4 linked regions of the Notamacropus eugenii genome follow. The protein of the gene in region 2 purifies or fractionates together with the protein of the main gene of each other region. This does not show direct contact. Links are inferred from orthologs where the notes say so. Each region holds a gene or a part of one and is shown on either strand. Other genes may lie near its edges.

Region 1 (7,795 bases), on a different chromosome or scaffold from region 2:
ACACGTAGCCGATGGCCACCGAGGGTGTGCTGAGGCTGGGACAAGACAGCATTCCGGGTGCCCAGGTCTCCCATTTCAACAATGGCAAACACTCCCTGTTAGGCCGCAGCAGAGAAAAGCTCTCAGACACTCCTCTCCAATCACCATGGCCCAACCCCAAGCCCCACCATCTCCTATCTCCTCCAGCCTGTCCCTAGAGTCTCCCTGACCTGGATCTTACTCCCTCCTCCATCAGATTGCTCACAAGGGCTTGCCCAGGCTGGCCCCACTACCTTGTCCTTGTCCATGACAATGCTGGCCACAGGTCCAAAGGCCTGGAAGTACTCAGAGAGCTGGGCTGGATCTACACCACGTGGAAAACCACTGACAAACACGCTCCGCAGGCCCTGGGCCCGGCGTGCAGCTCGAAGCTCTTCAAGGCGGCGATGCTTCTTGCCTGCAAGGTGGGCATCCAGGCTGGGCCCTGAAATACACACATTAAGCACGTGCTGCTTCCAAGGATGCAGCAACAAAGTACTGACTGTTTTAATCTACATGGGGGAAAGAGCCAAACCAAACGCTTCAGGCAAACCACAGTTCGAGCTGGGTGGAGCTTCAAGAGGCCATGGAGGCCCCTCAACATAGAGTTGAGGAAACTGAAGCCCAGAGAACCTAAGTGACTTGCAATGGGTCACACAGAAAGGAAACATGAGGATCCCCTTTGAACCCAGGTCTTCTCCCTCCAACTAGGGTATCACCTGGGGAGATCATTCCTGGGCTGACCCTAAAAGGCACAGACAGAATCATGGAGTCTGGGGAGGTCAAGAGGAAAGCACGGTGGGAGCCAGAAGGGGGTTAGACAGGGGCCAGATGAGGGATGCCATGCTATGACAGGCAAAGGAAGCCAGGTTTGGTTTTATAGGCAACAAAAACTCACAGAAGGGCTTTGGGCCCCGGCATGATTCTGGCGGTGTGAGGGGTGAGGGAAGGATGGGAGAGTGTGATGGAGGATGGAAGATGGAGGGCAGAGGAGGGAGGGAAGAGACTGGGGGCAGAGACACCAGTCAGGAGGAGATAACAAGAGTCTGGGTTGGGGGGAGGGCGACATGGGCCTGACTTTGGGAGGCAAGAGAAGGGACACAGAATTGACATGACTGGAATGCGAGGTGAGAGCCCAGGAGGAGGACAGCAGAAATGAGATTGGGAGATGAGGCCAGTCAGGTCAGGAGACTGATGCGCTTGGCTCAGAACATGCTGGGATTGAACAGAAGAGATCCAGGGAAAGGGTCCAGGAGGCAGGGGGAAGACACAGGAGGAGCAGGAAGAGATGTGGAATGATCTGCATAGAGATGGCTACAGAAGAGAGTCCCTAAGAAGAGTGTGTATGGAGAAGGGAAGGGAGTGGGCCCTCAGGACACCTGTGCCAAGGTCCCAGGCTGAAAAGTTAGAGAAAACAATGATTCACAAGGAGCAACAGCACCACAGAAATACCTCAGGGGAGATGTCAGTAGAGTGCAGCAAAAAAAGAATCTCCATGATAATGGTCCTGGACGAGATTCTGGGATACTGGGATACAAAGCCCTTAGAAATGTCCACAAGGACAAGGACTGAGAAAAGGCTATCGAGGACCCTGGGGAGAGCAAGCTCATGGAGCAGTGACATGAGGTGTGGAGGGGGAGGCCAGGGTGCCACAGACAAGTAAAGTCTTCAGGAGAGACAGAAGGGGAGACAAAGAGACAGGAGGCCAAGGGCTCTGACAAGGAGAAGTCACAGCTCTAGAGGCCAGAGAAAAGAAGATGAAGAGGACGACATAGAAAAGTCTGGAGGTAGAGAGCAGGAGACAGACCAGCTCAATCAGGGATAAGGGCAGGAATTGGACAAGGAGGTTTAGAAAACCCATTGGAGGGCATGAAAGAGTCCATCAAAGATCAACCGAAAGGACTGTCCTGCAGCAGGGAGTGTCCACTTGAGATAAGATCACTTGAATGTGTAGAATGTTCAGCTGAGCTGATTCTGGGGTTTCTTTGAGTGGCTTAGAAACAAAAGCAGAGCAGGCCTACAACGGGAAGGGAGGGAAGGCTGAGGATGGGCAGAGAATGACCAGGATAAAAGGGCATGCTCTTCAAGAGTGGAAGACAGTGGTTTTTAAATTAAATTTTATTTTGACTCATTTTCTCTTTCTGCCCTCCCCCATTGAGAAAACAAGAACAGTAAAATCTCTGTTATGAATAAATATGGTCAAGCAATACACCTTCAGTGTGGGTTATGTCCACAAATGCAGATGTTTGGGTAGATACAAAAGTATCTGGGCAGAGATACAAAGTTACACCCTGGAATGTTCTCTGCCCCCAGTCCTTTCTCTCTCTACCAGAGGTGGGCCACAGGCTTCATTCCAAACTCTGGGATGGCAGGGAGGTAGAGGTTCCATTGAACTGCCCACCCTGGCAGGTCTATAAAGCTTGTACCAGGGACGTGGCCTTGGAAGATGTTGGCCCTTGGTCTCCTCGATGCCGGCAGTGGGGAGGCAGGTGACCTGGGCAGCACTGGAGATGCCCCAAGAGCCGCGTCATGAGAGTGGCCACAGAACTCCTAGACCCTGGATGGCCCTGGGTGCTTGGATGCTGAGGCCAAGCAGACCCAGGCCTTCCTCGTGCCTGGGTTTGTGCCTCTGAAGGGAGGGGAGCTCGCCTGGATGCTTGTAAGGAAGACCGAGGAGGGCCCGAATTCAAATTCAGCCTCGAACACTTGGGTGACCCTGAACAAACCTTTTCGCCGCTGTCTGCCTCTGTTCCCTCCCACCCCACGCCCCCCAGCTGGGCTTCTGCCTTCGCCCTGACTTTTGACCCCGTGAGACACTGTTGCCCAGCGGCCAGAGCTCCGAACTTGGAGCCCGTTAGGTAGACAAGAGTTCGAATCCCATCTCTGGTTCAGGTAACTTCCCCGGGCCCTCGGTTTCCGCACTGGAGTAAACGGCCAAAGGCCGCGGAACCGCAGCTACGGGACCAAGAGAGCTCCCCCACTCCCCTCGGGGCAGGGGGCCCAGCCCCGTCCGCCTAGGCCTGGGGGCTCCGTGACCCATGACCGCCAACCCGCCCCCTTACGATTAGCTGTGTTCACGTGGCAGAGGCAGCATCTGAAGCCCCCGCGCGGCAAAGCCTCCACATCCGGCTCCGTCGCCGCCATATTTCCCGCTTCAGAACGGGCCAGGCACGACTTCCGCCACTACCGGAAGTGGGTCACCGGGATCGCTCAATAAGAAGGCACTTCCGCCACTCTCGGGGATCTGGGGCTCGTTCGGTCGCGTCTCAGGACTCAGGCTGCGCACTCGGTCTGCAGCCCCATCCTCCCGGGTTAATCTGCATACGGTGACGCGATTGGCCAGCTCTGAGAGCGCCTGTCGTCGATTGGCCCTGAGCGAACATGAATATTCATGAGCAACGGTGGAGCGGCCGGGTCTCCAGCAGCTAGGGGATCCCAGCTCCGCCTCTCCGCCGGCAGAGACGACCCCAGCGGCCACCGACTAGGCCCCGCCGCAGTCTCCGGGCAGCCGGGCCGAGAGAGGGGTGCTAGAGTGCCCCCGGCTGTCTCTTCCTCCGTCTCGGGCACGGGCGATAGAGCCGAACCCCACGCAAGACGACGGACCCCCGAGGGCCCGTGACTCCTCGGTGGGTAGGAGTGACTCGCGTGGGCGTGACCCTGGCCCGGCTGGTCTGTGCCCTAGCCACAGCGGACCGCCCAGCCCTGAGGGGCCCTGTCCCCGGCGGCCCTCCAGCACTCCTGCCCCGAGGGATCCTGGTGGGCTGAGGCGCTGCAGCCTGGGGGGTCGCCCTGCAGTTGTCACCAGAATGTACTGAATCCGTGGCAACTTCCTGGCCTCAGTTCTTCACCTGAAAAATGGGTGCACTTGGACCGCCTCGGCCCAGGAAGTATACATGTGAGAAGTTAGGAGAGCCTTGGGAGGGATGAGGGGGGCCTGCCCTAACCCCTTCCATCGTAACTTCAGCCTCTGCCCTCAAGTGATTCCTGGCATCAGAGCCCAGGAGAGGGCGGTCAGATCCTACAGGCATAACACCTTCTAGGTGCCAGGTGCCGAAGACACAGGCAGTCCCGGTCCTCAGAGCTTGCATGGTGGGTGTGGGATGTGAATAGTCCCCATCTGTCCAGGCATCCCTCCTGTGACTCTGGGCCCCGGTCTCACTCTCCACTGACCCAGGGATTCTTCATCTCTTACCCCAAAGCAGTCGAGCATATCCTCCTAGCCTGCAGCGTCCTGCCTCACTAGCCTTAGCCCAAGGGCCAATCCCAGAACTTCCAAAAGACGGTGGTCAGGAGGGGACTCGCCAGCTCACCCAGGTTGCTTTGGCCAATTCCTAGAATCAACTCCTCTAGAACACCCCGTGACAGCTGTCCCCCAAAACAGATGGTATATCAAACAAAGAGGTGTCTACAATCAGACTGTACTAAGGGCTTCCACCAGGAAGTGACTGGGAAGCCTCTCCTGGGACTGATGGTCAATCTTGCTGTCCATTTTCCACCCTCCATCAGACCTCCCTTCTTCCCTAGACCCCATCCCATGTCAGAGAGCAGCAGAGCCAGGAGGAGCTGAAGAAAAACAGTTTTTTATTTTTATCGATCTAAGAACGGATTATAGATTCCAAGGTTAAAAAACAGACAAAGGGTCTTTATTTCTGAGAGTTGGTGTACAAAAGGCAGGGATGTGGGGGAAGGGAAGCAAGAGTGAGCACAAGGAGCTGGGATTGCCCGAGCTCACAGGCCTCTAACTCCAATTAAGTCTGGACATCGAATGGGAGTAAAACCCAAAATTAGAAAAAGAAAACAAGACTTGAGACATGGCAGTGCACGCCCCACCCCCACAGGTACCAACTGGTACCTTATTTTCCCCTCCCACACTCCCCAACAAGGGGAGGAAAAATTAAAAAAAACTTTAAAAAACCCTCCCCCCCAAAAAACCTGCCCCAGGACTGAGTCCTTTGTACCCCCAAAAACAGGCTATCCCATGTGGGGCTTTTCCTTCCCCCAGACCTGGAGAAGGCCAAGGAAGAGGCAGATGTGGTGTCAGAAGCTACAAGCAAGCTCTCCAATGCCCTCCCAGGACCCACACACACAGGTAAATGTGCCTGTCTAGAGGCCGCCTTCCCATCTACTCTCTTCCCTTCCCCCCAAAATGCTCAATCCTCCAAGACAATAGGCTCATTGGTACTGGCAGGGTGTGGGGGTAGAGGCGGAGGAATCGGGGCCCTGACTGATGGCAGTGGAGGCTTCACCTTCAATGGTAAATTGGGCCGCCTTGCAGCCCGACGCATTTCCAGGTGAGTCAAGGCCTTCCGTAATGCCCTAGCAGAGAAGACAGGGCAGATGCAATCAGTTGACAGCTGGGCCCTTCCTGGCTGCCCAGTCCCGTTATTCCTGCTTCCACACCCCCAGTCTCTGCTATCAGCCACCCCTGTGCCCAGCACTGTCTGGTCTGCCCACTACCTGGTGTCTTTTGTGGCCACAAATACCACAGGGTTGGGAGCATCCGCTGGGTTCAGCTTCTGCCGCTTGGCTGCTGGCTGTGTGCTTGATCGAATCCCTGAGGTGAGGGGCCTTCCATTGGCTGAAAATGGAACCACCTGGAAAAGAGGAAGGGAAGCTTTCAAGCCCTCAGCAGTGAAACCCCATCCCCCATCATTCTAGGAGCCCACCACCTCCAACTCCACTTCTGAACAAGCTGAAAGTAAGGAAGCATTGCCTCCCAATGGGCTAGAATCTTCATGGGTGAGAAAGAACAAGGGGATACGTAGGGTTCAAATCTAGCTTCACTTACTAGCTATGTGACCCTGTCTGCCTTAGTTTCCTCAGATGAGAGTAACAGCACTGTTCTCCCAGAGTTGTGAGGACCAGAAGACTTTAGAAGGCTATGTAAAAGCTGGCATGTGCACATGCAAAATGTATGTTTGAGCACATGTATGTATTTTCTGCCATTATCACTACTTCCAACCCCTCTGAGACCAAGCAGACCAAGGAAGGAAGACGAGTCCCCCAAATGTTCCCCCCTTTTCCCCAACTCACACTCTCATAGGCACGTTTCACCACAATGCCCCCCAAGCTGCGGTTCTGGGTCATTTGGTTCCTATTGATTGGTGTCTTTGTGCCTCGTGGGGTTTTTGGTTTCAGAGGAGCCTGGGCCGCTACAGAGGAAAGAGAAAGACCTTGCTGAAATCCTTTGTTCCAGATCCATTCCCAGCCCTTCTGTACCATCCCCCTGTCCCATACCGAGGTCTTTGACGATGGTCGCCAGGGGCAGTCGCACCAGAGGATGAATCTTGAGAGGCGTTTTGGCTGCCTTGGGGAGTCGGATGGAGCCTAGTGACAGCAAGAAAAGTTACCAAATCTGGGTGACCCAGCCCAGGCAGGGTCCATACACCTTGTGGACACTTCCCCCTTCTCTCCAACAAATCTCTCCTGCCCATTCTCACACTCAGCCTTGATGGCGTTGGCATTGATGGGGGCATAGGGTCGGCGGGCAGCTCTCCTCGGCTGTAGCAGGTCCCTGCACATACGCCGGGCAAGACGGGTCAGCTTTGTTGTCTGCAGTAGAAACGTCTGCCTATTCTTGGCCAGCAGCTTGGCCCGGTTGGCGCTAGTTGTATATGGAGAAAGGCTCTGGGCTTCAGGTCGAGACAAGTGACCCCGGGAGTGCGGCTCCTGGTGGAAAGAGGAAACAAAGTGGGGTCCTACTGCCCTCAAAATTCTGGATCTGAGCCACCCCAACCCCACCTTCAGGATCCACTGGCTCAGGGGAACAATCCAAAGCTGCCAGACTGTTTCCTTCCTGTTAGTCAGGGAGGAGAGGCAGCTTTCTCAAGCTCTCGATTTCTCGGGCCCTTCCCACAAGCCCCAACCCTGGGTCCTTACGGTGGTACCCCGTGCTGCCCCCTCCAGCTGCGTTGGGGTCTTCAGCCCCCCATACTTCTTCCAGTAGATCCAGCAGGAAGCGCAAAGTCGACACTGCATGTTGGGGGGTCCCCAGGCATACCACTGTGCTGACTGGGTGGCTAGAGAAACAAACAGGTCAGCAGGTGGAGTGGCAGTCAGAAGGGACAAGCCTGTCCCCCACCCTCAAGCACTGAGATAGGAGCTGAAGCAGGCCCCGACACTCACTGTGGCAGCTCTCACAGGTCAGCCCCTTCTGGAATCCAGCCCCATTCATGCCTGGCTTTGACCCCACAGAGATGATCTGGTTTGGATTCGGCTTAGTGCTGGGTGGGGGACAGAAAAAGATAGGACAGGATGGATGCACAGGCTGGTTCCAGTGGCAGCTTTCCACCCCATCCCAGCCCAGGGAGTCTCCCTGCCACTCTCCTCCCAGTCCCACCCATTCCAGATCACAGGGAAGGGAAGGAAGATGCCCTGGCTCCCCTCCGTACCCACCTACTCCCACTTACTAGGTAGGGATGTAGACCTGTTTCAGTTTACTGTCAGCTTCGGCTGCTTTTAATCTTTTCTGTAGGTGACACAAGAAACGGAAAAAGCAGTATGTGGGATGGTCCCTGGGCCTGGCTTCCCCCCATCCACCCAACAGCAGCTCTCTGCCTTTCCTCTATGGGCCCCATACCGGTCCTCACCTGCTGGATGTAGCGGTCAGTGGTTTTCCACATGTAATAGAACTGGACGATGCTGGCGAGAGACTTCCAGGGGAGCTGGGGAGGTGATGCAGAGTGAGCTGGCGCCCTAGCCTGAGGACCCCGATCCCCTCGCTGCTGCTGTGGCTGCTGCTTCCTAACCTAGCCCTGCTCACAGCCTCACTACTCAC
Region 2 (7,540 bases):
GAGAGGACAGACTTCAAGAGCCCAGAATCTTTGATACATTTAGCAAATTAATTATTTAGGCATTTTGTTTAAAAAGAAAAAGAGAGGCACAAGTTGCATACTTGTATTCATCAAATGCTGATATACGGGCACTAAAACATGACTGATAAACTCCCATGAGAATGCAATTCACAGTTCTACAGGAATTGACAGTAGAATTGTGACAGGTACAATCTCTCTTAGGGTTCCAGACAGAGTGTTCATTTATATCACAAGTAACAAATTAAACTTGCTATCAATTCAATATCTCCTTGGACTCATTTAAATAAGCTAGGACAAGATATCATGGAAACTCTTTGGCAGTCTGGGGAAACCTATGGACCCCTTATCAGAAGGTTTTTAAATACACAAAATGAAATATACAACAGAAATCAACTACAACAAACTACAGTGATCTAGACACAGACTGGGGCAGCTAGGTGGCTAAGCAGATAGATGCTGGGCCTAGAGTCAGGAAGACCTGAGTTCAAACCCAGCCCCAGATACTTATTAGCTGTGTGACCTTGGGCAAGTCACTTAACCCTGTTTGTCTCAGTTACCTGAATTGTAAAATGAGTTGGGGAAGGAAGTGTCTTTGCCCAAAAAAACCCCAAATGGGGTCATGAAGACTCAGATACAACTGAAATGACTGAACAACAAAATAAAGGATTGTCCCAAAACTCTTAGTGCATTTTAAAAGTTTTAACTTTTAAAAAAGCAAAAAACAAGTTTACAGACAGGATCAGGTTAAAAAAAAACTGTTTTTAAAACTAGAATCAATACTAGGGAGTCTTGGCTAAGCTGCAGTGGCTTAGCTGTTCAGATGTAGTATAGGGAAACGATCAAATAAAAACTTTGGAAAAGAAAAAAAGCAAAAGAAATAAACATGACCACAATGGCTCAAAACAGTAATATCAGGACCATGTTAAACTTGTTCTTTGAAGAAGCAGAATATGATTCTATGAACTTACTCTGAGTGACTTTCTAGTACAAATACTCATAATTCATAGGAACAGTCCTACCAAAAAGATGTGGGGAAGAAAAAGGTGTCTGAGAAGACACAAGATGAGAAGAATGACTACTTTTAAGTGCATACTACATTAGGCACTATGGTAAATACAAGGCCAAAACAATCTGTTCAGCAAGTTTGTTTTTAACTTCTTTGTATATATTTGTATTTATTCACTTTAAATTTATGAAATATATAAATACATGTATACGTATATGTGTATATATACAAACATACAGCCATTAAGGCTTGTATTTGTTGCCTAACTGTAGGGAATGCTACATTCTTTGCACTCACATGTTTAGTGTGTGGCACAGTACCTGACACATTGTAAGGATTGGTTTAGTACCTTCAAGGAATTTAAAATCTAGTAGAATTTACAACCATATGACAGACTAATGTAATACAAATTAGACTATTAATCCCCAAGAATGTAAAGGCCCATGGATATGAGGCAGGCAAAGTAAAACTTAGTCTCAGAGATACCATTTATAAATCACGCTTCCATAAAGAGAAGTTCAAGGAGAGACTATAGTTGATAATGCAAAACTTATTTTAATCAAGGCCCAAAGTAAAAGGAGAAAATATTCAAACCTAGAAAACCCGTACTTAAGACCAGGCAGAACAGGCAACACAAAAGATTAGTCCAAAACTAGTCTTACCAGAAGTTATATTAATATTTCCAGCCTCAATTCCAGCTTTAATTCCTTCTTTCCCCAACATCCCTGACTCCCCTCTTGCAATACGTTCCTTCTCCTTCTCTTCCAAACTGCCATAATAGATATGAGGCTTCTTCACCACAGGGGAGGCAGTGTCTTCAGGAGTCCTACTGGGGGTTTTGGTTGCCTATAAAATCAAAAAGTAGAGTTAACCTAGAGTTGGAGCAACCTTCGGAACTGCCTGAAGTGTTAATTCTGAAACCAAATGCTATTCCTGGATCTGCAGAAATAAGCACAGCACCAGTTGGAACTTTCCCCACTCAGATAAGGTAGTAATTGTTTTAGTGCATCCCTCACATGAGAGCATGTTCGGGACAAGAAACGTGTGGGATGAAACTAATGAACTCCATCTTTTTCTGAGTGATTTCCCAATCAATAGGTTACTTTGATACTGCTTATTAAGATGTAAGACCTCTGGGGACAGGTGCAATCTATCTTGGAGAAATGAGTGTTCATTTACGTTATCAATAGCATACTGAGCTTGCTATCCATTCAATGTCCTTTTAGAGTCATTTAGATAATAAAGGACCTGAAATAAATTTAAGCAGTGAATTTAAAGGGAAACATAATGAGAAAATTTACCTCTGGTTAAACCAAAGAAAATTCTAAATTGGGGTCTATGTTTTTTCAACTCTGAAGTACACTACAATCTCTATAGAACTTTCTAGATTTCAATGCATTTATACATGCATAATCTTATTTCATCTTCCCAAAAATCCTACGAAGGGAAAAGATCAGGGATTATCACCTTTTTAAATACAATTTTGGAGTTTTAGAGTCTACATCATCTAGTCCATCCCTTTTGCAGATACAGGAAATCTCCTCTGTAACATCCCTGACCAGCAGTCATTCAAATTGTGCTCAAACACTTCCAAGTGAAGGTGAAGTCACCATCTGTCACAGAAGCCTTTTCCACAACTTTGTTAAGTCCCTCCCCAATCCTGAACTAACAACTGCTTCCTTGTAACTCTCCTTTTGGAGATGACAAACTAGGGTTCAGCGATCTGTCTGGGATCTGGACAAAGCTAGGACTAAAACCCAATGACAGAACACGATGCTGAAAAAGTCTAAGTTAGCATCTCATCTAGATTTCTCTCTTTACAGAAGGAAACTGGGGCCAGGAATTAACAGGCTTAACCAAATTCGTGTAGAGCTGGGAAGTCCGATCTCCCACCTTGAGTCCAGGGCAACTTTTTATTACCACACTGTCTCTTTTAGAACTCCAACTCCCCCCCTCCCCCCCCCCCCCCCCCCCCCCGCCGCCGCGTTGACTTCAAACCCCAGCTGTGGCCCCAGTTCCGTCGGGGTGGGAGGGGAGGCCAGTTCCCTTCGGAGGGGCGGCAGAGTCAGGAGTCAGGAACTCGGCGAGTCCATCCCCCTGCCTCTGCACCAACCCACCCATCATCTCCCTGAGCGCGGGTTCAGTGGAAGGGCAGAAGCCAATTCCGGCTCCCCTACACGTGGGGAGAACTCCCAAGGATCCCTAAACACCAAGGCCAGAGCCGCACCGTAGCCGAAGCTCGAGAAGAAGCCATGTTGTGGTAAGAATTTCAATCGCAGACCACCACGGCCGCTGACCCCCACCGCCGGAGGACTCACTCCACGCTCAGGGGACCGGAAATTTCGAAACGTGTCGGAAATAGAACATAACCGGAACTAAACGGAGTCCGGAAGCCCGGGGAGGCGCGGAGCAGGCCGGGGATTGTAGTCTTCGTCTAGGGGCTTCTGTTGCAACCTGAGGGAATGAAGCGCGGAGCACTCTGGGAGAGGTAGTCAGCAGCGACGGATAAGGAAGGGGCCACGCGGCATGTCGGGAGATGCAGTCCTTGCGGTCAAGCCTACAGAAGATTGGTAGGTGGCTGGAAAGGCGGAGTGGAACAGGCTGGAGGCGGTAGGGGTCCGAGAAGTCGGTTTCGCCCCGGGACTGGGCTAAACCAAGCTGAGCTGAGCCGCGCCGCGCTGGGGGGAGGTGGGTGTTGGGCCATGAGGGCTGCTTCGAGCTGAGGACCTAGTTCCTGGGGCGAGGCGGGCGGAAAGGGAAGGGGACGTGAGCCGGGAGGAAGGAGCTGGCCGCCGGCGGGCAGGCTTCGGCTTCCCTGCTGCTCGGTCCGCTGGCCTGCCTCTCTGTAGTCATGGAAACGACGGCTCCAGCCTCAACCACAACCTCCCTCTCCCTTCACAGTCTGATTCCACTGACCTTAGAGGGGAAATGGGTCAACTCTCGTTTTACAGATGGCGAAACTAAGGGCCACGGAGTAGACCAGGTTCAAGGCAGGGTGGCATCCTCCATCCCCTCCCCTTCCCCACCCCACGTTAAGGAGGTAGGGGAAATACCTAGATATAGATGATGGGGAATAAGAACCACTCAGAAATTGCCTACTGTATTTATATTCGGTTGATGCGCTGAACCTAGTGCTCCGTCCATCTCAGATCCCCTGCCGTTCATCTTGGTTCCAGGATTGAAGTGGGTCTGGAGAGTGTGGTGGGTATGCCCAGAATCCTAAAATACGGTGGGAAAGCATATGCTGGCATGCATACTCATTGAGGGACTCCGGTCCATTGTTCTTCATTACCGAAGAGAGGGATGTTAAATCAATGCTAATAGTTGGGGAGGTTAACACTGCTAAATAGGAATCTGTTACAGGGGAGGGGAAAAGGATATTCAGAAATAACAACATGAAAAACACCAGTAAAACTTTTTAAGTCTATGAAAAGCCAAAAAAAAAAAGGTTTATTAAAATTCAGATCATTAAATGGTGCTAAAAAAAATGACCCTAGCATTATTGATTTCCTCTGTAATCATTTTAATGGTTACAAAGCGTAATCCTCTGTAAACATTTTAGCATAAATCTGCGCAATTGTTTATTTCTGTTTTTTGTTCCTTGAAAAAGTTTGCATCAAGTCATTATATAGTTATGAATCAAAGAGACTTTTCCTTAGAATTAGGAAGTCAACCACTGTGTGATTCATTTGAAAATGAAATCTTAACTTGACTTTTGCCAGTGGTCACAAATCCCTAAAAACCCAGGCAAAGGGTATTAAAGTGATTGTCACTATCCATTTTGTAAATGGTAATTCATTTTGAATTAAGGAAAGTTATTTTTAACTGTCTGTATAAACTTGTACATTTCTCTGAATGTGGCTGAAGTACTACTGGATTAAAGTGGATTGTACATCTTTTGGTTTCTATGTGTTTCACAGGCAGCTATTTTTGAATGGCTGTGAAATCAGAGTCATTGAGGCTTCCTGACAGCTCAGGAGGTTGTGTGTACGTTTAGGGTATCGTTGTTTGCTTGCAGAAAATCCATCCCCACCAGAGTATGCTTCTTGTAGAGCCTCTTCCTTCTCCCTAAATTTTGACAGTTTGGTGGATTTGGCTTGGACGTGTTGAACTGTTACCAGGATGCTCCGACGAAAACCCACTCGCCTGGAGTTGAAGCTAGATGACATTGAGGAATTCGAGAGTATCCGGAAGGATCTGGAGGTGAGTGTGGTCACGTCTGTTATTTTATGGAGTGGGTATTTTAGGATGTGTTATCTTAGTCTAAAGTATTCTGTCTAGAAACCTATTTCATTTGGGAGAGGAACGTTGAAGATTGAGTTTTTAGTGTAGATGTGTACACATCATTACTTAGAAGAACCTTGATTTGAAGGTCACTTCATATCAAAATAAGCATTTTCATATGGAACTATGCATGTTTAAATTTCAATTAAACTCAGTCTTTTTATATTAGGGAGCAAGCAAGGCAAGCCATACATTGTGAACTTTTAACCACTTCATCTTGCATATGATAGTGAATATGAATGGGTTTTTTAAAAATGTATTTTAAAAGTTAAATGGGCTGCTAGATATTGCAGGGAATAGAGGGCAGGGCTTGGAATCAGAAAGACTTGAGTGCAAATGCAGCCTCAGATACTCGCTTGACTCTGGGCAAGTTATTTAACCCTTTTACTCAGTTTCTTCATCTGTAAAATGAGCTGGAGAAGGAAAATGCAAACCACTCCAGTATCCCCAAGAGATCATAAAAATGGGAAAGGGTCCCACATGTACAAAAATATTTATAGCAGCCCTCTTTGTGGTGGCCAAAAACTGGAAATCAAGGGGAGGCCCGTCAATTGGGGAATGGCTGAATAAATTGTGGCATATGAATGTAATGGAATACTATTGCGCTATAAGAAATGATGAACAGGAAGACTTCAGAGAGGCCTGGAAAGACTTATATGATCTGATGCTGAGTGAAAGGAGCAGAACCAGGAGAACTCTGTACACAGCAACAACCACAGTCTATGAGGATTTTTTCTGGTAGACTTAGTACTTCATTGCAATGCAAGGATTTAAAAAATTCCCAGTGGTCTCTTAAGGCAAAATGCCTTCCACATCCAGAGAAAGAACTATGGAATTCGATTGCAGAATGTAGCAGATCATTTTCTTTTGTATTACGTTTTGGTTTGTTTTATGATTCCTCCCATTCATTTTAATTCTTCTATGCAACATGAGTAAGGTGAAAATGTATTTAATAGGAATGTATGTGTAGAACCTATATAAAACTGTATGCCATCTCAGGGAGGGAGAGGGGTGGTAGAGGGTAAGGGAGGAGGGAGGGGAAAAAATCTAAGATACATTGGAAGTGATTGTAGAACACTGAAAACAAATAAAATAATAATAAAAAATAAAAATATATTTGTTTATTTTTTAAACAGGCAGCCCCCTCTGGAGCTGAAAAATTGTAGGTCTTGGATTTTAAAAGGCTGGGGATTCTGGTCAGATAAAGACCTTGATTTATTTCAAATCAGTAAAGCCTGCCTGATTTATACATAGGTTCAGTTTGGATTACATTTGAGAGTATTTGAACTTTGCCCTTGATGATCTAATTTGCATTTGAACCAAGTTCCTTTCAGCTGTGCTCAATATCATTGCCACTGGTTAACCTTTGATGTACATTGTTATGTGAGTGCTGTACTACATGAAAGAAAGTATATTTCTGAGTCTTCTAGTAGTTATCAAGTCAATAAACATCTATTAAGCTCTTTAAAAAAAAACCAAAACCCTAAATGGGTCATGAAGAGTTGGACACAACTGAAAATGACAACAAAACTAAACAAGACTGAGCAACAAAAAAGTTTGAACATCTATTATTAAAATTATATTTATTTATATTAAGTTATATTAATTATAGCTATTATTAAAATGTTTTATGAACTGGCTTTCATTTCCTCCTAAAAACTATAGCTTGCTTTCAACATCATAATTTTTTAACTTTTAAAAAAATGCACAAGGAGTGTAACCTGGGCCTATGATGTGTCATCATCCTTGATACCTCAGTTACATTAAGGGCTTTCATTATGAGCCCTACTGGGGATGCACCTGATCTACCTGTTGCTGACTGTGCGTATTGGGTATAAAGAAAGGTTGCAGACTCCATGGGTCCTGAGGAAAGCCAGAGAACTTAGGTGGACCAGAGACTACAGTTTGGGAGTTCACAGGAGAGCCACAAGCATCAGATTGAAGAACCAGGAGTGGCTCACAAACTTTGGGCAGAGGGCAGAGGAAAGCTTCTGGACTTGTAGGAATCGTGAGTCCAAACGCACTTTGTGGAGGAGAATGATGGATTTGGGGCCAGAAAGAACAGAGCTTTTGAAGACTTTTCTTCAAAAACAGACTTTTCTGGTGCCTGAACAGACCAGGAAGCCAGGTTTCTCAGAACCTAGGAGCCAAGATTCTGAACCTCTCTACCCTCTTTTGGTTTCCTCATTGGGAGCTTTGTATACTAATGAAATTACTTGTGGAGTCCAA
Region 3 (7,816 bases), on a different chromosome or scaffold from region 2:
TTTATTTGGTCTGGGCAGCTGGATGAGGTAGTGGATAGAGCACTAGGCCTGGAGTCAGGAAGACTTGACTTGACTTGACTCGTCTGACCTCAGACCCTTCCTAGCTGGGTGGCCCTGGGCAAGTCACTTCACCCTGTTTGTCTCAGTTTCCTTACCTGTAAAATGAGCTGGAGAAGGAGACGGCAAACCACTCTAGTATCTCTGCCAAGAAAATCCCAGTGGGGTCAGGAAGAGTCAGACATGACTGAAAGATGAGCCAACAACAGATTTATTTGGTCTGTGCTTTTTGTTGCCTGGGCAAGATGTATATGGCTCCTAGGCTTTGGAGATGTTGCTTGTGGAAGGAGTTGAATGTCTGGGATCTTGCCCACTGCTCTCCAAGGCAGACTAGGACTCCTGCCCTGAGGGGAGCAGAAGGGCTCTGAAGCTGGCCACTGTTCTGCAGGCTCTGAGAGGGCATTGGACCAGAAGAACCTTATCAATTTGCCCCTCTAAACTCTGCTGGTCAAGGGGCACAGTTTTTAGGTTCAGAACAAAAAAGTCATTTCCTTGGACTAGCATGTCCTTAGCTTCCTTGCCTCCCTACCACATGGTGTTACCCAAAAGACCATCGCAAGTGTAAATCAGAGAAGTTACATAGCTTCGAATATAACAGAAAATGCACGAGGGAATGAGCTCTTTAGATGGGAGTGAGATGAGTGAGATGAGGTCTGGCTCTGCCAGGACAAAGGCCCTGATCTCTCTGAGGCTAGAACTCCCTGAAGGCCTCTCACTAGGGCAAGGGGCATGCTGAGAAACCAGCTTCCCCAAGTGTCTTTCACTTCCAAAGTCTTTTTTCTTTCTTTCTTTCTTTTGTTTTTTCTAAGTGTTTACTGGTGTCTTCTCACATCATCATAGTTATCCGACAGATCTCTCCCACAGAGCCATGCCACATAACAAATAGTATTTTTAGAGGAAAAATTATTACCACAACTGATGGTATATTGTGTCAACTTGAAAGTTTGGTTAAAGGAGGCAAACAGACTAGGTGGCATATAAATTCATATTGTTTATTCCCTTAAAGCTAGCCAAAGCTAGCGAACATGTATGTATGAGGAGCCAGAATGTGAATTCTGACTGACTGATAAACGAATGACCAGCCTTAAGAACAATCGCAATCTCAAGATGTCTATGTCCCTTGGATGTATGGTCTCCATACATGTAACCATACCATGAGAAAGGAAGTTTCTTAGTTGAATAAGTCATAAATACAAATTGACAATTGACAAAGTAGTGTCAATTACAATCCCAGGATATGTGTTTCCCTTGGATACCAAGATAATAGAAGCCTTGCTATTCTGGTTGCTGGCATCCTGTCCTTAATGGTCACAAACAGGAAGAATGCTCCTTGTCAGCCTTATCTGGTCCTAAAGTTGCTGACGCAGGAAAGGGCATTTTTAGAGCAAAGCAAAGCACGTCTATTTGATTAGTTCAGGCTTTGGCCCTTATGGGGCCAAATGATCTGAAATGATTATCAGTTGAAAAAGTTTGAAAATACGTGCAAGTCTGCCTTTCTTTCCCCATGTGTCTGTGATTCATCCCAAAGAGGATGGGTCTCGCATGATTCTCTGAGAAGGACTGGCTTTCTTCTCCAAAACTCATGAGCCAGTGGGCTCTTTCTGCATCACCAAAGGAAGCTCAGTCAGAGTCATCTGCATAAGAAATGCCTGGCCACTTGTATCCCAGCACTTGGCCCTGTGCTGCCTGGCAGATACTTGATGGATTGATGTCTTCAGTTCAAACTCTAAATCTAAGACCCTATGAATGAATGAACCAATCAGTCAGTGAGCATTTATTAAGTACTAAGTGACAAAACTAAGTGCCAAAACGCTGGAGATTCCAGGCATTTGCCTGGTGCACAAAGGACATCTATACTAGGTGCTAGATTCTGGGTATGCAGAGAAAAAGACATCGCTTTCAACTCCCTTTTTACAGAGGAGAAAACTGAGGCCTGGAGAGGCCAGGTGATCTGTCCAAGGTCACACAACTTTTAGGTAGGCAGGGTTCCATTCTATTCCACTGGTATTCATTGAGAGCTTGCTGGTTGCAGAGGGCCCTGGGCCAGGCTTTGGGGCAAAGGCTGAAGGAGCTGAAAAACAGCCTCAAGAGAAGCCACTAGAAGTGGCAAAGTCTCAGAACCCAGTGGGGCAGGAGGGCAGCTATGGTGGCTGGTGAGGAAGCATCTGTCTCAAACCTCCACCAGTTTTCTTTTTAAAAAACAAAACCTAAAGGGGTTTAGTGATGCCTTTGGTTTTTAAAGTTAGTCATTTCAGTATCTAACCCTGGCCTCCCCTCTGAGTGTTCCTTGAAACTGAACTCTCTCTTGTGACAAAGACTTAAGAGTTTGGCTCCAGTAGCTAGTGTCCATTCTGATAAAACAGGCCACATTCTCCATTTAGAGTCACCAGGTGGAGCTGCCATTTATGGTGTTCTTTTGGTTCTGCTATTATTAGTCTGTGAAATCCTAGGCAGTCCCTCCCCTCCACCTCTCTGAGCCTTGGCTTCCCTATCTGTACACTGAGGGAGTCTGACTCCTTCAGGAGTTCTTAGCCTTTTCTGTGTCGTGGCCTTCTTGAAAGTTAGGGACAGCTGAGTGGCCCAGGGGATAGAGCACCAAGCCTGGAGTCAGGAAGACTCAGACACTTCCTAGCTGTGTGACCCTGGGCAGATCATCTCAAACGCCTCTGTTTCCTCCTCTGTAAAATGAGCTGGAGAAGGAAGTGGCAAATCACTCCAGTATCTGTGCCAAGAAACCCCCAACGGGGTCAGGAAGAGTCAGACATGACTGCAAAGACAGAACTCCTTAGGCATTCTGGTGAAACCTATGAACCACTCTCAGAATCATGTTCTTACGTGCATACAATAAAATACTTAAAATAAGGAAGGAAAATAATTATATTCAAGTCAAGAAGCATTTTTATAGTGTCTACTATAAAATATACAGTGTCAGGGACTGGGGGTTATGCATGGAGATATACAAAAGGACAAATAATTGTGACCCCTGCCCTCAAGGGTCTTACAGTCTAAAGGGTAAACGGTGGGGGGAATGTGTCAGCAACTGTGTGTGTGGGGGGGGCCAAAATCTTAAGGGCAGTAAAACGATTACAATTTAAAGCCACACTAAGACTATTGGAACACGTACCCAAACAAGATTCCCACTGGTTAAATCGGACTTCATCCCCAGAGGGAGGCATGACCTTTAAGGGGAGTCGAGCAAACCTTGCAGGAGGTGAAATTTAGCTGACCTGAAGGCATGGGGAAGCCTGGAAGCCCAGACTTGGAAGCAGGGAAATACTGCTGAGGCACTGGGGACAGCGAGTGGAAAAGCATGGAGGGGGGAAATGGGGGTCTTGTTAAAGGAACCGCAAGGAGGCTGCTGCTGCATGGAAAGTTGTTAAAGTGTGTGTGTGTGGTGTGTGTGATGTGTGGTGTGTGATGTGTGTGTGGGGTGTGATGTGTGTGTGTGTGTGGTGTGTGATGTGTGTGATGTGTGTGGTGTGTGTGTGCGTGTGTGCCTGCGTATGTGTGTGTGTGGTGTGTGTGTGTGTGGGGGGTGATGTGTGTGGGGTGTGTGTGATGTGTGTGGTGGGTGTGTGCGTGTGTGATGTATGTGTGGTGTGTGATGTGTGTGTGTGTGTGGTGTGTGATGTGTGTGGGGTGTGTGTGATGTGTGTGATGTGTGTGGGGTGTGTGTGCGTGTGTGCCTGCGTATGTGTGTGTGTGGTGTGTGTGTGTGTGGGGGGTGATGTGTGTGTGGTGTGTGATGTGTGTGTGGGGTGTGTGTGATGTGTGTGGTGGGTGTGTGCGTGTGTGATGTATGTGTGGTGTGTGTGGTGTGTGTGATGTGTGTGTGGTGTGTGATGTGTGTGGGGTGTGTGTGATGTGTGTGATGTGTGTGGGGTGTGTGTGCGTGTGTGCCTGCGTATGTGTGTGTGTGGTGTGTGTGTGTGGGGGGGGGGTGATGTGTGTGGGGTGTGTGTGATGTGTGTGGTGTGTGTGTGCGTCTGCGTATGTGTGTGTCTGCGTATGTGTGTGTCTGCGTATGTGTGTGTGTGGGGGGGTGATGTGTGTGGGGTGTGTGTGATGTGTGCAGTGTGTGTGATGTGTGTGGTGTGTGTGTGCGTGTGTGCGTCTGCGTATGTGTGTGTGTGTGCGTGTGTCTGCGTGTGTGTGCGGTGTGTGTGCGTGTTCCCGGCCCCCGGTTAAGACCCCCTGGCCTAGGGACCTCGACGATCCTTTCCGACTTTGATCCTGCAGCCCGGGGGTCTCTGCGGAAAGCAGGTGCCGCCCCGAGGCCCAGAGCGCCGGCTCCAGGCTGGAGCGATCGCACCGCCGAGAGACGCACCCGTAGTACCACGACCCGGAGATTTCTCCCAAGGTTAAGGAGCCGAGTCCCCAGGCAGCGCACGGAGACGTCCGGCGGCAGGGGCGGAGGGAGGGGCGGAGGGAGGGGCGGGCCCAAGGGTTCCGGGCGTGGCTCCGCCCCCTTTCCCAGCAGCCTCCTCCCCCGGCCCCCAGCGGGGCCTTTTCCACTCCAGGCATCCTCCGTGAAGCTTTCGGGCCGAGAGGACTCGTCCTGCTCCCGCGATCCCAGCGCTCTTCCGACTGCAGGATCGCCAGGATGGTGAGTGATCCGGGCCCGAGGGGCTGGGGGGCGCGGGAGGCGCTGCGGGGCCCGGGCGGAGCCCTGGAAGTGGAAGCCTTTCCGGCGGCCGCTGTCGGAGGCGGGGCGGCTGCGAGCTCGAGGCTGGGGAAGTGGAAACATTGTATCCTCTGCCGGGCTCCCGGCCTTGTGGGGGTGGGGCGGAGGCTGTGAGAGTGGAGACTCTGCGTTCCGTGCTCCGCTCTCCGCCGCGCCCGCCCGGAGGAGACGCCTCGTGGAGTCGGGGCGCGGTGGCGGCCCTGGGGAGCAGAGGCCGAGCCTCGGCGAGTCCACGTGGGAGCGAGGCGGGAAGAGCCGGCCGGGGCGGAGGAGGCGGCTTCCAGTGGTCTCAGTTTACCCCGAGCACGTGGCGAAGCGTGGCCGGAGGCGGCCGCCCCCCGCAGTGTCGGCTTGAGGTCCGTAGGCAGCGGCGGGGTGAAAGGAGAGGGCCCGGGCGTGGGGCACCACGGTCCGAGTCCGGAAGTGATAGTAAATAAGTAGTGCGGCCCCGCTGGTCCGCCACGAGCAGCCGAGAGCCCGGCGTCCCTGGCGGCCCTGGGGGGCAGCCCTGGGCCCGAGGGAGGCACGTGGCAGGACCGGGGACCCCCGCGGATCCATCGTGCGAGGAGCCTGAACGCGGCCGAGGCTCGTGGAGCCCTGGGCAGGTCAGCGCCCACGGGCGGACGCTTGTCCTTGCGTGGAGAGCCTCCGTGGTTTGCCCAGGGCACCCTCCCTGTCCGGAGCCGGTGCCTAGGAGGCTGAGGACCCGGAGGGTTGTGGCGGGCTCCGAGGGTCAGCCGGGGCAGGAGCAGTAGGGAGCCCCTGAGGATGTCCGAGCAGGGAGGGAACCTGTGCCCTACGGGGCACATCCCGGAGCGATGGAAGGAGAGGAGCTGTTGGAGCTGCCTGGACCCCTGACTGGCCAAGCTGTGGGAGCAGGGAGGAGGCCGACTGGGAGGGGAAAGTGGAACTGGTCCAAAGGGCTGGAGAAGGGGTCCTGGAATGGACAGCATGGCTCTGAAGCTGAGCACGCTTGATGACTTTCCTAGACAGAACGAAGGTGTTGGACTAGATCATTGCCAAGGGCATTTCTGACTCCCAAATCTAGGAGGAATTGGGTCACAGCCCTGGCTTCCCTCATCCCCCCAGCCTCAGTTTCCTCATCTGTAAACCACGTCTTCTCAAGGATGGCAGTTTAAGGTTTTGTCTTTGCTTTCTTGTCGATTGGGGGTCCTTATTAAGGAAGGTTCTGGACTAAGGTTTGAGGGCCTCCTTGGGCCCCAGGAAGCAGGAGTTAGTCACTCTTGAGAGAAGGTGGAAAGGCATTCTGATCCCAGATCTTGGCCCCTACAGCTGGTGGTATTCTGGGTGAAGCATTCAATGCTGTCACCCATGAATGATGATTCTTTGGGACTTAGGCTGCTCCAGCTGGATGGAGAGCTGGCACTGAGCTCCATCCTCTTCCAGAGTCTAGGGCTTTCCCCACCAGGACAGGGCACCCTTTGACCCTTGGGCATTCAGGATTTGCTTCATTCTGTTGTGCTGTTCTTCAGACTGCCCCACTGGGGCCTGTCTCCCCCTAGGGGGTGGGGAATAGTCTTGGAGAAGGTCTTAGCTCTCTGCCTTCCCAAGTGGCGTTTGGGAAATGCTGTTGATTCCAATTGCTGAGTAAGCACTTCTCCCACTGATTAGTAGCATCCTTGTCCTAGGCTGGGGACTGGAATGGAAGAGGGAATTGGTCCCTGCACCAAAGGGGCTAGCTCTTTACCTATTGGAAACACAAAGTCAACACAGTAGATGTGCTTAGCACCTGGCCAATCAGGCTGGGCTTCTTGGAGGAGGTGCCATAAGGGAGCTGAGAGACTGTCCTCCAGGGACCAGAGCTGGCATGGCAGGAGGAGAATGCTTTGCCAACCTAAAAGCCCTCTAGAAATGCCAGCTGCTCTGATTATACCATCAGGAACCCTGATGGGCAGGGGGAGGGAATCACCTGGGCACAGGGTATACCCAGAAGGTCCTACCTTGCTTCCTCACTAGATGCTTCCCTGGCCCTTGAACTGTAAATTGCTGCTAATGAAGCCTTGACCCCCAATTCTCCTCCCCTTTCCTAGACTGAGGCTGAAGTAAACCCAAAAGCTTACCCGTTGGCTGATGCCCAGCTCACCAAAAAGCTTCTGGACCTGGTACAGCAATCCTGTAACTACAAGCAGCTCCGAAAGGGCGCCAATGAAGGTGAGGAGCTGGCTGGCATATGCCACTGGCCTTCCTGCTTGGTGGGGGTGGGGCAGGGGAGGGATCGGGCTGAGACTGGAGGTGAGGGAAAGCACGATGAAGGAATGAGCATCTGGGCAGAGCTCTGGGGATGCAAAGCAAGGCCGCCCCTGCCCTCAAGAAGCTCCTGTTCTGAGGAGTGGGTTGACACCCAGAGCTCTGCCCATCAGGGGACAGGCCTTCAGGAACTTTAGGGTATGGTAGGGGCGAACTAATTACTCCAGTGTTGTTTCTGATTCCGCTGACAAGTCTTGGAGTGCTTCTCGTAGGCCTGAAGGAGTGAGTGATTGGGTAGGGCATTTCTCACCCATTTCCTAATTTAGTCCTTAAGAGAGGGAAGAGGTCTGAAGTTCAGGGTTCAGAGCCCAGCTTGGCTCTTCCTTTGACTATTCTGTGTGACCTCTCCCATATCAGAGGGTCATAGAGCGGGTCCAAGCCTCCCATTTTTTATAGATGATGCAACGAAGGCCCAGAGAGGTTAAGTCAGCCTGCTGGTGATGGGAGGCAGAGATTGGGCCTCAGTTGCTGGCCCCCCATTCAGCTCTGGCTTCCATAGCCAAGTCTCTGGGTCATTGGCCCTTCCTTTTTCTATAAAATGACCTCATTGGGGCCTTCCCCTTTTTTGTATCGCGGGCCCTTTTGGGGACCTGATGAAGCTGATGGGCCAGTCCTTCTCAGAATAGTGTTTTTAAACATCTGGAGAAAATGCTAGACTTCATGGAGAGAGGTTAGTGAAAATGAAAGTGTCTTTCTTTTCCTCATTCAAGTTTGTGGACCTGGGATTCAGAAACCCAGCTGGACCAAGCAGCCCCTTTATCCCAGTAAGTAGGAAGGCTGCACTTGAAACAGGGAGCCCCCGTGATT
Region 4 (8,193 bases), on a different chromosome or scaffold from region 2:
CATACATACACAAACCAAGAAAAAATAAAGTGGAAAGAATCTGTCTCAGTTTACATTTAAAGATCATCAGTCCTCTCTCTGGAGGTGATTAGCACTTTTCATCATGAATCTTTTGGCATTACCTTGGATCACTGTCTTGATGAGAACAGCTTAGTCTTTCACAGATGGGCATCATTACAATACTGCTCTCCCTGTGTAGAATATTCTCCTGGTTCTGCTTACTTCACTCTGCATCATTCATAGAAGACTTCTCAAGTTTTCCTGAAACCATCCCACTTGTCAGTTCTTATGGCACAATCATATACCACAACTTATTCAGCCACTCCTCAATTGATGGGAATTCCCCAAAATGTTCAATTTTTTGCCCCTACAAAAAGAGCTATAATTTTTTTTTTTTACAAATAGGTCCTTTTCCCATTTCTTTGATCTCTTGGGGATATAGACCCAGTTGGTGGTATTCCTGGGTCAAGCACAATTTTATAGCCCTTTGGGCATAGTTCTTGACTGTTGACCAGAATTTGTTGTCCAGAATGTTTGGACCATTTCACAGGGAGTTCTTAGATATTTCAAAATAGCTTGTCTTTTCTATGGTAGAAAGTGACATAATGGAATATAATTATGTTGTAAGAACTGAGAGGAACTGATTCAGAGAAACTTGGGAAGACTCACGTGAGCTGATGCAAAGTGAAATGAGCAGGACAAGGAGAACAATTTATACAAAGACTGCAGTAAATATAAAGTGAATAAGCTCTGATGTGGCACCTACCATGTGCTAGGCACTGGGCTGAGTGCTTTACAAGCATTACTTCATTTGACCTCACAACAGCCCTGTCAGGCAGGTGCTCTTATCATTCCCATTTTGCCGTTGAGAAAACTGAGGCAAACAGAGGCGTTAGTGACTTTCCCAGAGTCATACAGCTAGGAAGTATCCAAGGCCAGATTCGAACACCAGGCCCAACTCTATCCACTGAGCCACCAGCTGCCTCTAAGATAGAATGGAAATGTCAAGAAAAACAGTTTTGAGTGACCAACTATGGTTTTAGAAGACTAATAATGACACTTCCCACCACTGGACAAAGAGTCAATGGACTGAATGAGATGTAACGTTCTAGACATGTGAATTTGTTTTCCTTGATTTATACCCATGTTTCACAAGGGAAGGCTTCTCTTTGGGGAGAAGGGGTAGGTGGTGATAGTGATGCAGAAAAAAATTAAGGAAAAGAAACAAGAATTAATGAAACATTAAAAAATATACAAAAGGTAACACAAGGAAGTTCATAAGGTAAAGATATAGTTATTTTGTTACTATTGTGTTAAACTTAATATACACTTTAAAAAACCAAATTGCATATAATAAAATTCACAGTTCCATAGCCAAAAATAAGGAAGCTAGCCAGCTCTGGGGTGAGCTGAGACAGTGAGCTCTGAAAAAAAAAAGTTCACTCTTCATCATTTTCTTTGTATCTTCTCCTGGGTGCAACAAAAGGAGAGAAGGAAATTCCTCTTCTCTATTGTAAATATTGTCTTGTAGCAAAAACACATAACCATAGGAGACCCCACTACCAGCAGAGGGCAAACAGAAGTCCACCTGGGGACATGAGCAGAGCAGCTAGAGCAGTTGAGAGTCTAGGCCCTAGATCCTGGATCCTGGTGCTCAGGAGACAAAAGATCTCAAAGCATAAGACCTGTGCTAGTCATAAATTATAGGCTCTAATTTTCCAAAAGTGAATAGCAGTGCCCTAGGTCAGAATTTCAGCCAAGTTTGAAACTGGATAGCTACAGGAAGGCAATGAAGCAGCACACAGGTTAGTGGGGGCATTTCAAACACTGTAGTACTGGAGGCATTAGTTGCCCCTCTCCCACGCTCCTGTGATGAGACAGTGCTCATAGACTTCCATAATGTCCAGTCTCTGTAATTCAAAGCCTGTTTCTTAATAGTCACACAAGTACATGATTTAGTGTTTCTAAGAATTTTCTAACTCCAAGTGCTTTTCTTCCTAACTCTGAAGAATTCAACCTGCAGGTTGAACTGGGAGGAAGAGGGCAGCCAGGGCCTGGGGGGTATATTACACTTTGTGGAATCATCTGAGACTACTTATCTTGGGTTTGCATTTGCAGGAGCCTGCTGGGAAGTCTTAAAATCTCCTCTTAGAGGCTACAGTTATAAGATTACAGAAATTCACTGAGAAAGAATCAGTATTTTTCTTTTGGGTGGTTTTTTTTTCAGCTTTAATTAGTCAGTTTTTTATGTCTTTCCTTTACAAGCCAGACCAGTTGCTTTGAGAAAATTTAAATTGAGTCCCACAGTACTTTCATCCTCAAAAATTCCAATCCTGTGGTCACCTCAGTTGCTTGATGCACCTAGGCCTAGCTCCAGTCAAGTTTTATTTCACCCCATGGCCATGTCTTTACCAATTGACATGGTGCCATGCACATACCCTTTGTCCCTCTCCACCTTTCCAATTCTGGAACCATATTCAAATCAACTCTGTCATTACTCCTGGTAAAAGTGTGCCAAATCTATTTCCATAGGGCTCTGCTCACCCATCTTGCTTTCCAAATCAACATATTCCTCTTTTATCACCACTCATATGTTCTGTCTTGTCTATTAGAAGAAAATTCCTGTCTTTCTTTTTGTATTTGTGTCTTCAGCACTGCTTGGCACATAGTATGCATTTATGTCTTTTCATTTATTCATTCTTATATACTGAAATCTGCCTTATTATTGTGTTTATTACGTGTACAGAAGCCGATGTGTGAAGTATGGATGTCGCACTCCTAGAATACCAGTGCCTAGAAATACACCTAGCCCTATGGGACTCGCCATTTAGTATTTAATAAAATTTTAAGGAGATCTGGACAGCCTGCCCTGTTGTGGTCTAAGTCTGGATACTTTGAGATCCGTATGAACTGCAGTTTCTTAGGATAAGATTGACCTGATGGTCTAAAAATCCCAGGTAATAAGCAACAAGTGCTGAATCCTTTTTATGAAGCCCCATCCAACTGTGGAACTTTTTTGAGTTTGATTTCCTTTTTTTTGGGGGGGGGGAGAGGAAGGGAAATAAGATTGATTTCTTTTTAAGCCAGGCTACTGTCCAGTTTAGGACCAGTTTAGACCTCCTTTGGGAATGCTCTACTATAGTTTTACAGGAATCCACTGAAGAAATTTTACAATAGCATCTCTCAGATAAAAAGAAAATAGATTCCTAACCAAGTGACAAATTTATTTAACAAATTTCAGAAAGGTCTTAGGAAACCGGATGCTTGAAAACTCATTTCTCTTTTCTCAGGACATCTGAATAGGCTTTAGTCAGTTATAATAATAGATTTTACTTTATCTTTTAGGCATCTACTTTATCTTTTTTTCACTATCCCAGTCAATTAAAATGTCAAAAGGATACCAAATACCCTAAAGTAAAAAACCTTCTTCAGCTGTAGCCTAAAATCATAAAGATAATACCTGGTGCTCACACCACAGAACAATCTCAAAAGGCAAGTTAATTAAAACTTGCCCTCTTTAAAGACTATTTCTTCAGTACTAAAGCAGAAGCAATAGTAATAGTATCTACCTCGAAGGGCTATCCCAAGTGTCACATGAGATAATGCTTGTAGAGAGCTTTAATTTAATTTAATAGAAGCTCAGGAGTGAATCAAAACAGCTGTGAGAAAAGTTGGTCTTTCCTTTGTCCTTTTAGAGTACAAGAGGGGATCTTTCTCCAAGCAAATTGTCTTAGAGTGGTAGCATGTGGGTGTAGGAGAAGGGTCTGTGCCCAGTAGCAAACCTGCAAGGAGCTCTGAAGTATATGAGTGAACCCAAAACAAGGAGCAGAGAATCCCTGCATAGTAGCACCCTACACCAGAATGAAAGCTGAGTGCAAAGCAAAGTGAGACAGTGGAAACTACAGTCAACAGCAGAGACACCAGACACATCAAAGAGCAGTCTCAATATCTGGGCCTTGGAAAATGTACACTGGCGCAGTCTGACCACCTTTGTTCTTACCCTTTGAGGTATCAATGAAATTATAGGGTTATTTATATATACATATGCTATATTATTAAATAAGATATAATTGTGTGTATTATATATAAGGGTCTTTTATACCCCTTTATCTTGGTCTCCCAGAACCCCATTCCTTTCATTTAATTTCCTTTGCCCCAAATTGTATCTTCTCCAATTGTTCTTCTTCAGTTTCCCTTAGTCCGTGGCCTTAGGGGTTCATAATTCCAATTCTATAAGATTAAGGTAGACTAATTAAACCTTTCTCTCAGCCTTTCCCCCCCTTCCTTTTTGTCCAGCATCCTGATCAGTTTTTCAGGTGGAATGAAGGCCCAGGAGCTGAGAGGATCAGCCCACACCCCTTTGGGGCCATACAAAAAAGCAAGCCAGCCAACTCTGATACATACATACACACAACATGCATACAGGTGTACACATGTGCACCCACATATGTATACACATGCACACACATATACGGGTGTCCACATGTGCACATATATGCATGCATAACACACACGTGCGTACACATGTGCATACACGCAAACATATATACACATGCATACATAACACACATATATAGGTGTACACATGTGCACCCACATATATATACACATGCATACATAACATGCATACAGATGTACAAGTGTGCACACACATATACACATGCAAACACAACACACATACAGGTGTACACATGTGCACCCACATATATACACACGCAGCACACATAACATATACATATGTACACATGTGCACACACATACACAACACATACGTGTATATGTGTGCGTGCACATGTGTACACATGTATGTGTTGCATATGTATACATACACATGCATACATAACACATATATGTGTACAAATGTTCACACGCATGCATACATATGTAACACATATACAGGTGTACACTGTGCACACACATACATACAAATATACACACGCACACATAACACATACAGGTGTATTACACATGCATACACATATAACACATATACAGGCACGCACACACTTCTGGGGGGAGAACTATCCAAAGAGATGATGTGCCTGCGCATGCGCTCAGGCGCACGACACGAGGAAAGGTTCAGAGACAGCGCAGTACTCGGGCAGAACTGAAGGTACGGGGCGGGTTTCGCACAGCGCCCAGCGCTTAACGAATGCTGATTACCTCCACCACCTCCTCGCCAAAAAACAATGATTCTTCCACAAAAAATGTTTTGGGGCTTTGCTAACAGGTGGCATGGCAGCTTTGCCTGTCCAGACAAATAAAATGGCTTCATTTCCTTCATCTTTAAAAAGGAGTTGGGCATCACGCCGTCTAAGATCTCTTTTGGCTCTAAATTCTGCAATTGTAGAACCCCAGAGCAAGACCTGTGAACATTATCTTAGGGTATCCAAGACACCACAACACCCTCTAGGAGGCGCCCTGGGAGAACTACATTGCCCAGCGGCTCCTCCCCCTCAACCCAATCGCCAGCGCTGTGCACGTTGGGAACTGTAGTTTTCTGGTACGTGTGATTAGCCCAGGCCCAAGAGGCCGGGGACTCGCTTTCCCAGCTTGGCGCGCGGCCCCAGGTGCCGTCTGGGTGATTAGGAACCGGGAAAAATGGCGGTCTCTCTGCGACGTTGAGGCCGCGTTGAGCGGTTCAGCTCCGGTGTGGTGAGTCTCGGGTTCTCTGGGAACGAGGACCAGATGGGGGCTCCGAGGCCCCCAATCCCTGGGGAATCAGGAGTGGGAGCGGGGCTCGCGAAGGCACCCTGGGGATACAGGAAGCCCCGGAGGGCGGGGACGGGGTGCATCCCTGGGACCTTTCCGAGGTGATAATGTTAGTAGCTGCCTGCAGCCTCGGGGAGCTGCTTCCGACGGGCGGCAGACGCGGGGGGCCGCTTCAGTGCCTGACGCGTGCTGGGCTCCGCAGGACCGGGAACCGCTTGGAAGGGGCTCTTCCGGAGCCCCCCAGGCCAGCCGCTGGGACACTGATCTCGCACCCCAAGCCGGGCCGGGCCGGGCCCTGCGCCCAGCCCTAGAGCCGGCTGGCATTTACACCACCCCACCCCTGTGTGCTGAGCCCGGGCACTCTGCTCGGCACGGTAGACCGCCCTGCTCGTGGGGTCGTAGCCTAATGGGGACAGTAGCCCCTAGCGCCAGTGACCCATCCCGAGCCCAGGTGTGCAAAAGACATTTCCCTGTCACCTCTGGGAAGACTTAAGGAAGACACGTTTTACTTTTCCAACTTCAGGAAGTATGGCTAGATTGTTATAAGGGACGGCTCTCTGGGAAGGTGGAGGAGGTGGAAGGATGGAGGGGAAATTTAAAATAAAAGATATAAGGAAAATATCCACTTAATGCAAAAGCATTGACACTAGCCAAAAAAAAAGTCTTCATAAGGGCTCGTCCAGTTTGACAGAATCCTAGAAAGGCTGAAGACAGTGTTAAATACTGGATCACAGAGTCTGAACGTTATTGGGTAGGTTGCATAGAGAACCTGTGAAAGGTTTTGGCCAGAGGAATGACGTAAGGAGGAAAGTTAGTTTGGGAGCAACGTGAAGGATGAATGGTGGAGATAGAAGACTTGCTATGATCTCCAAATTTTTCTTCATTTCACACTCTCATCAGTAGATGACTCTGAAACATACCTCCAGTGTATGCATATTTATTGTAAAATGAAATCACAGGTCCAGTGCCTAGCCTATTCTGTATTTGTAATTTGTGAATTGTTAATGTATATTGTAAATAAATTATTGCTGTCATTATGTACATCTTGTGACATCAGTATTACATGTATCTTATGTGTATACATGTATACCTATGTATAAAAACAAGCACAGAAGTAGAAATTCTTAAAGGATGACATAAACTTTATTAATGATACAGAGAAGCCTTTTAAGTGACATTTTTAGTGACCAAATTGTGATGTTCCTCATTGTTTTTAAAAATCTTGGTTTCACACTGATTTTTGGTAGAGAATTTGGTTCTAAGTTTAGTGTATTTTGGTATTTGGTTTCAATGACTGTCACAGCTGGAAAAGAAGATGCATAAGATCCAGGGACCCACATGGAACGAGTGTGTCATTGCCATGCTTAGGCGGAGTCATGATGCACATTTTTCAGTCCCTTCCACCTCTCATGCAGTCATTTTTGTTGAAATTTGGTTAATAGGTTTTCACCTTCCTTTATAGTGTTCATTCTTGCAAACTAATCAGGAGTTATTATCAGCTCCTCATTTTCTCTTACTCCATGTTTGTATTTTTAACAAATGTAGTTAAAACCCACAACTCATTACTTGGAAGATTTTTAAATGGGTTGGAAAATTTTGTTTTGTGTTTTTAAGTATGCAAACAGAGATTTTTTTAGGTGGCAAACCTACCATTTATGGCAATAAAATTTAAGGGTTTTTAAAAAAATGTTTTGTTTATTGTGACAGTTTTGTACAATCGTTAGCTAATATCAGTCATTAAGTGTGTATCAAGCACCTATTATATACCAGGACCTGTTGTGGGCCTTAGAAATACAAATACAAAGAGTTAAACAATCTCCACTTGCAAGGAAGTTCTATCAGGAGAGACAGTAGGTACATATATTATAAGACTTTGCAAAAGAGAATAAATACAAAGTAGTTCAATACAAGATATTTTGGGAGGGAAGATACTAGCAGTTGGGATCAGGAAAGACTTCATGGAAAAGCTGTTTGAATTGTTCTTCATCCTTCATACTCAAAGGGGACCAATGACTTCATGATGTTGGGGTCAAGGTGCAGCGTGTTTGACTGACAGTCTTGGAAGGCTTTACCACAGGTCAGGCACAAATACTCCATTTGAACATCTGGGATGGAGAAACCTCTCAGCTTGTGCATCTTGTGTGTCCTTCGTGCTGCTGTGATTCTGCTTTGCTCCTAGAGCACGGTGTCTGATTCTGGTGAGATGCCACCATCTCCCATGTCCCACAGTTGACGCTAAAGTTTTTCAGAGAGACCCAGCGAGTGTCCTGGTACTGCTTCTTCTGACCTCTGTGTGAGTTCTTTTAGGTGAATGTATGTTTGGTATTCGGGTATACAGAGTTGGAGTGCTTGGCAGTTCAGCCTGAGAAAGAACCTTGTTGTCTAGCATCTTATCTTGCTAAATAATCTTCAGAATTTTCCCAAGGAAGAGGGATTCTCTTTACTCTCTTGAAGAAGCATAAAGTGAACATAAGGAGAAGG

Evidence for each region.
Region 1: the proteins of PRPF4 (region 2) and TUT1 purify together in Homo sapiens (co-immunoprecipitation; 3 studies listed by BioGRID and IntAct, counting the BioPlex papers as one, with this or other methods). This does not show direct contact. The link is inferred for Notamacropus eugenii from reciprocal best matches to the Homo sapiens genes PRPF4 and TUT1.
Region 3: the proteins of PRPF4 (region 2) and SNU13 purify together in Homo sapiens (affinity purification with mass spectrometry; 4 studies listed by BioGRID and IntAct, counting the BioPlex papers as one, with this or other methods). This does not show direct contact. The link is inferred for Notamacropus eugenii from reciprocal best matches to the Homo sapiens genes PRPF4 and SNU13.
Region 4: the proteins of PRPF4 (region 2) and DDX23 purify together in Homo sapiens (affinity purification with mass spectrometry; 4 studies listed by BioGRID and IntAct, counting the BioPlex papers as one, with this or other methods). This does not show direct contact. The link is inferred for Notamacropus eugenii from reciprocal best matches to the Homo sapiens genes PRPF4 and DDX23.

Annotation. Positions count from the first base shown.
Region 1 is NC_092873.1:15,715,194-15,722,988, forward strand, and holds the start of TUT1 (speckle targeted PIP5K1A-regulated poly(A) polymerase), read right to left. Parts: upstream 3,205-7,795; 5' UTR 3,163-3,204; coding exon 3,081-3,162; intron 2,523-3,080; coding exon 2,445-2,522; intron 464-2,444; coding exon 273-463; intron 96-272; coding exon 1-95. Other genes in the region: metastasis-associated protein MTA2, read right to left, coding at 5,169-5,334, 5,476-5,612, 6,052-6,170, 6,256-6,345, 6,459-6,687, 6,898-7,037, 7,144-7,241, 7,428-7,486 and 1 more. UniProt on the Homo sapiens protein: Poly(A) polymerase that creates the 3'-poly(A) tail of specific pre-mRNAs. Localizes to nuclear speckles together with PIP5K1A and mediates polyadenylation of a select set of mRNAs, such as HMOX1.
Region 2 is NC_092872.1:478,474,766-478,482,305, forward strand, and holds the start of PRPF4 (U4/U6 small nuclear ribonucleoprotein Prp4), read right to left. Parts: upstream 3,381-7,540; 5' UTR 3,282-3,380; coding exon 3,255-3,281; intron 1,874-3,254; coding exon 1,690-1,873; intron 1-1,689. Other genes in the region: anaphase-promoting complex subunit CDC26, read left to right, coding at 5,150-5,230. UniProt on the Homo sapiens protein: Plays a role in pre-mRNA splicing as component of the U4/U6-U5 tri-snRNP complex that is involved in spliceosome assembly, and as component of the precatalytic spliceosome (spliceosome B complex).
Region 3 is NC_092874.1:300,682,129-300,689,944, reverse strand, and holds the start of SNU13 (NHP2-like protein 1), read left to right. Parts: upstream 1-4,418; 5' UTR 4,419-4,660; coding exon 4,661-4,663; intron 4,664-6,792; coding exon 6,793-6,913; intron 6,914-7,816.
Region 4 is NC_092874.1:220,629,630-220,637,822, reverse strand, and holds the start of DDX23 (probable ATP-dependent RNA helicase DDX23), read left to right. Parts: upstream 1-5,067; 5' UTR 5,068-5,655; intron 5,656-7,891; exon of another isoform or gene 7,892-8,005; intron 8,006-8,193. UniProt on the Homo sapiens protein: Involved in pre-mRNA splicing and its phosphorylated form (by SRPK2) is required for spliceosomal B complex formation.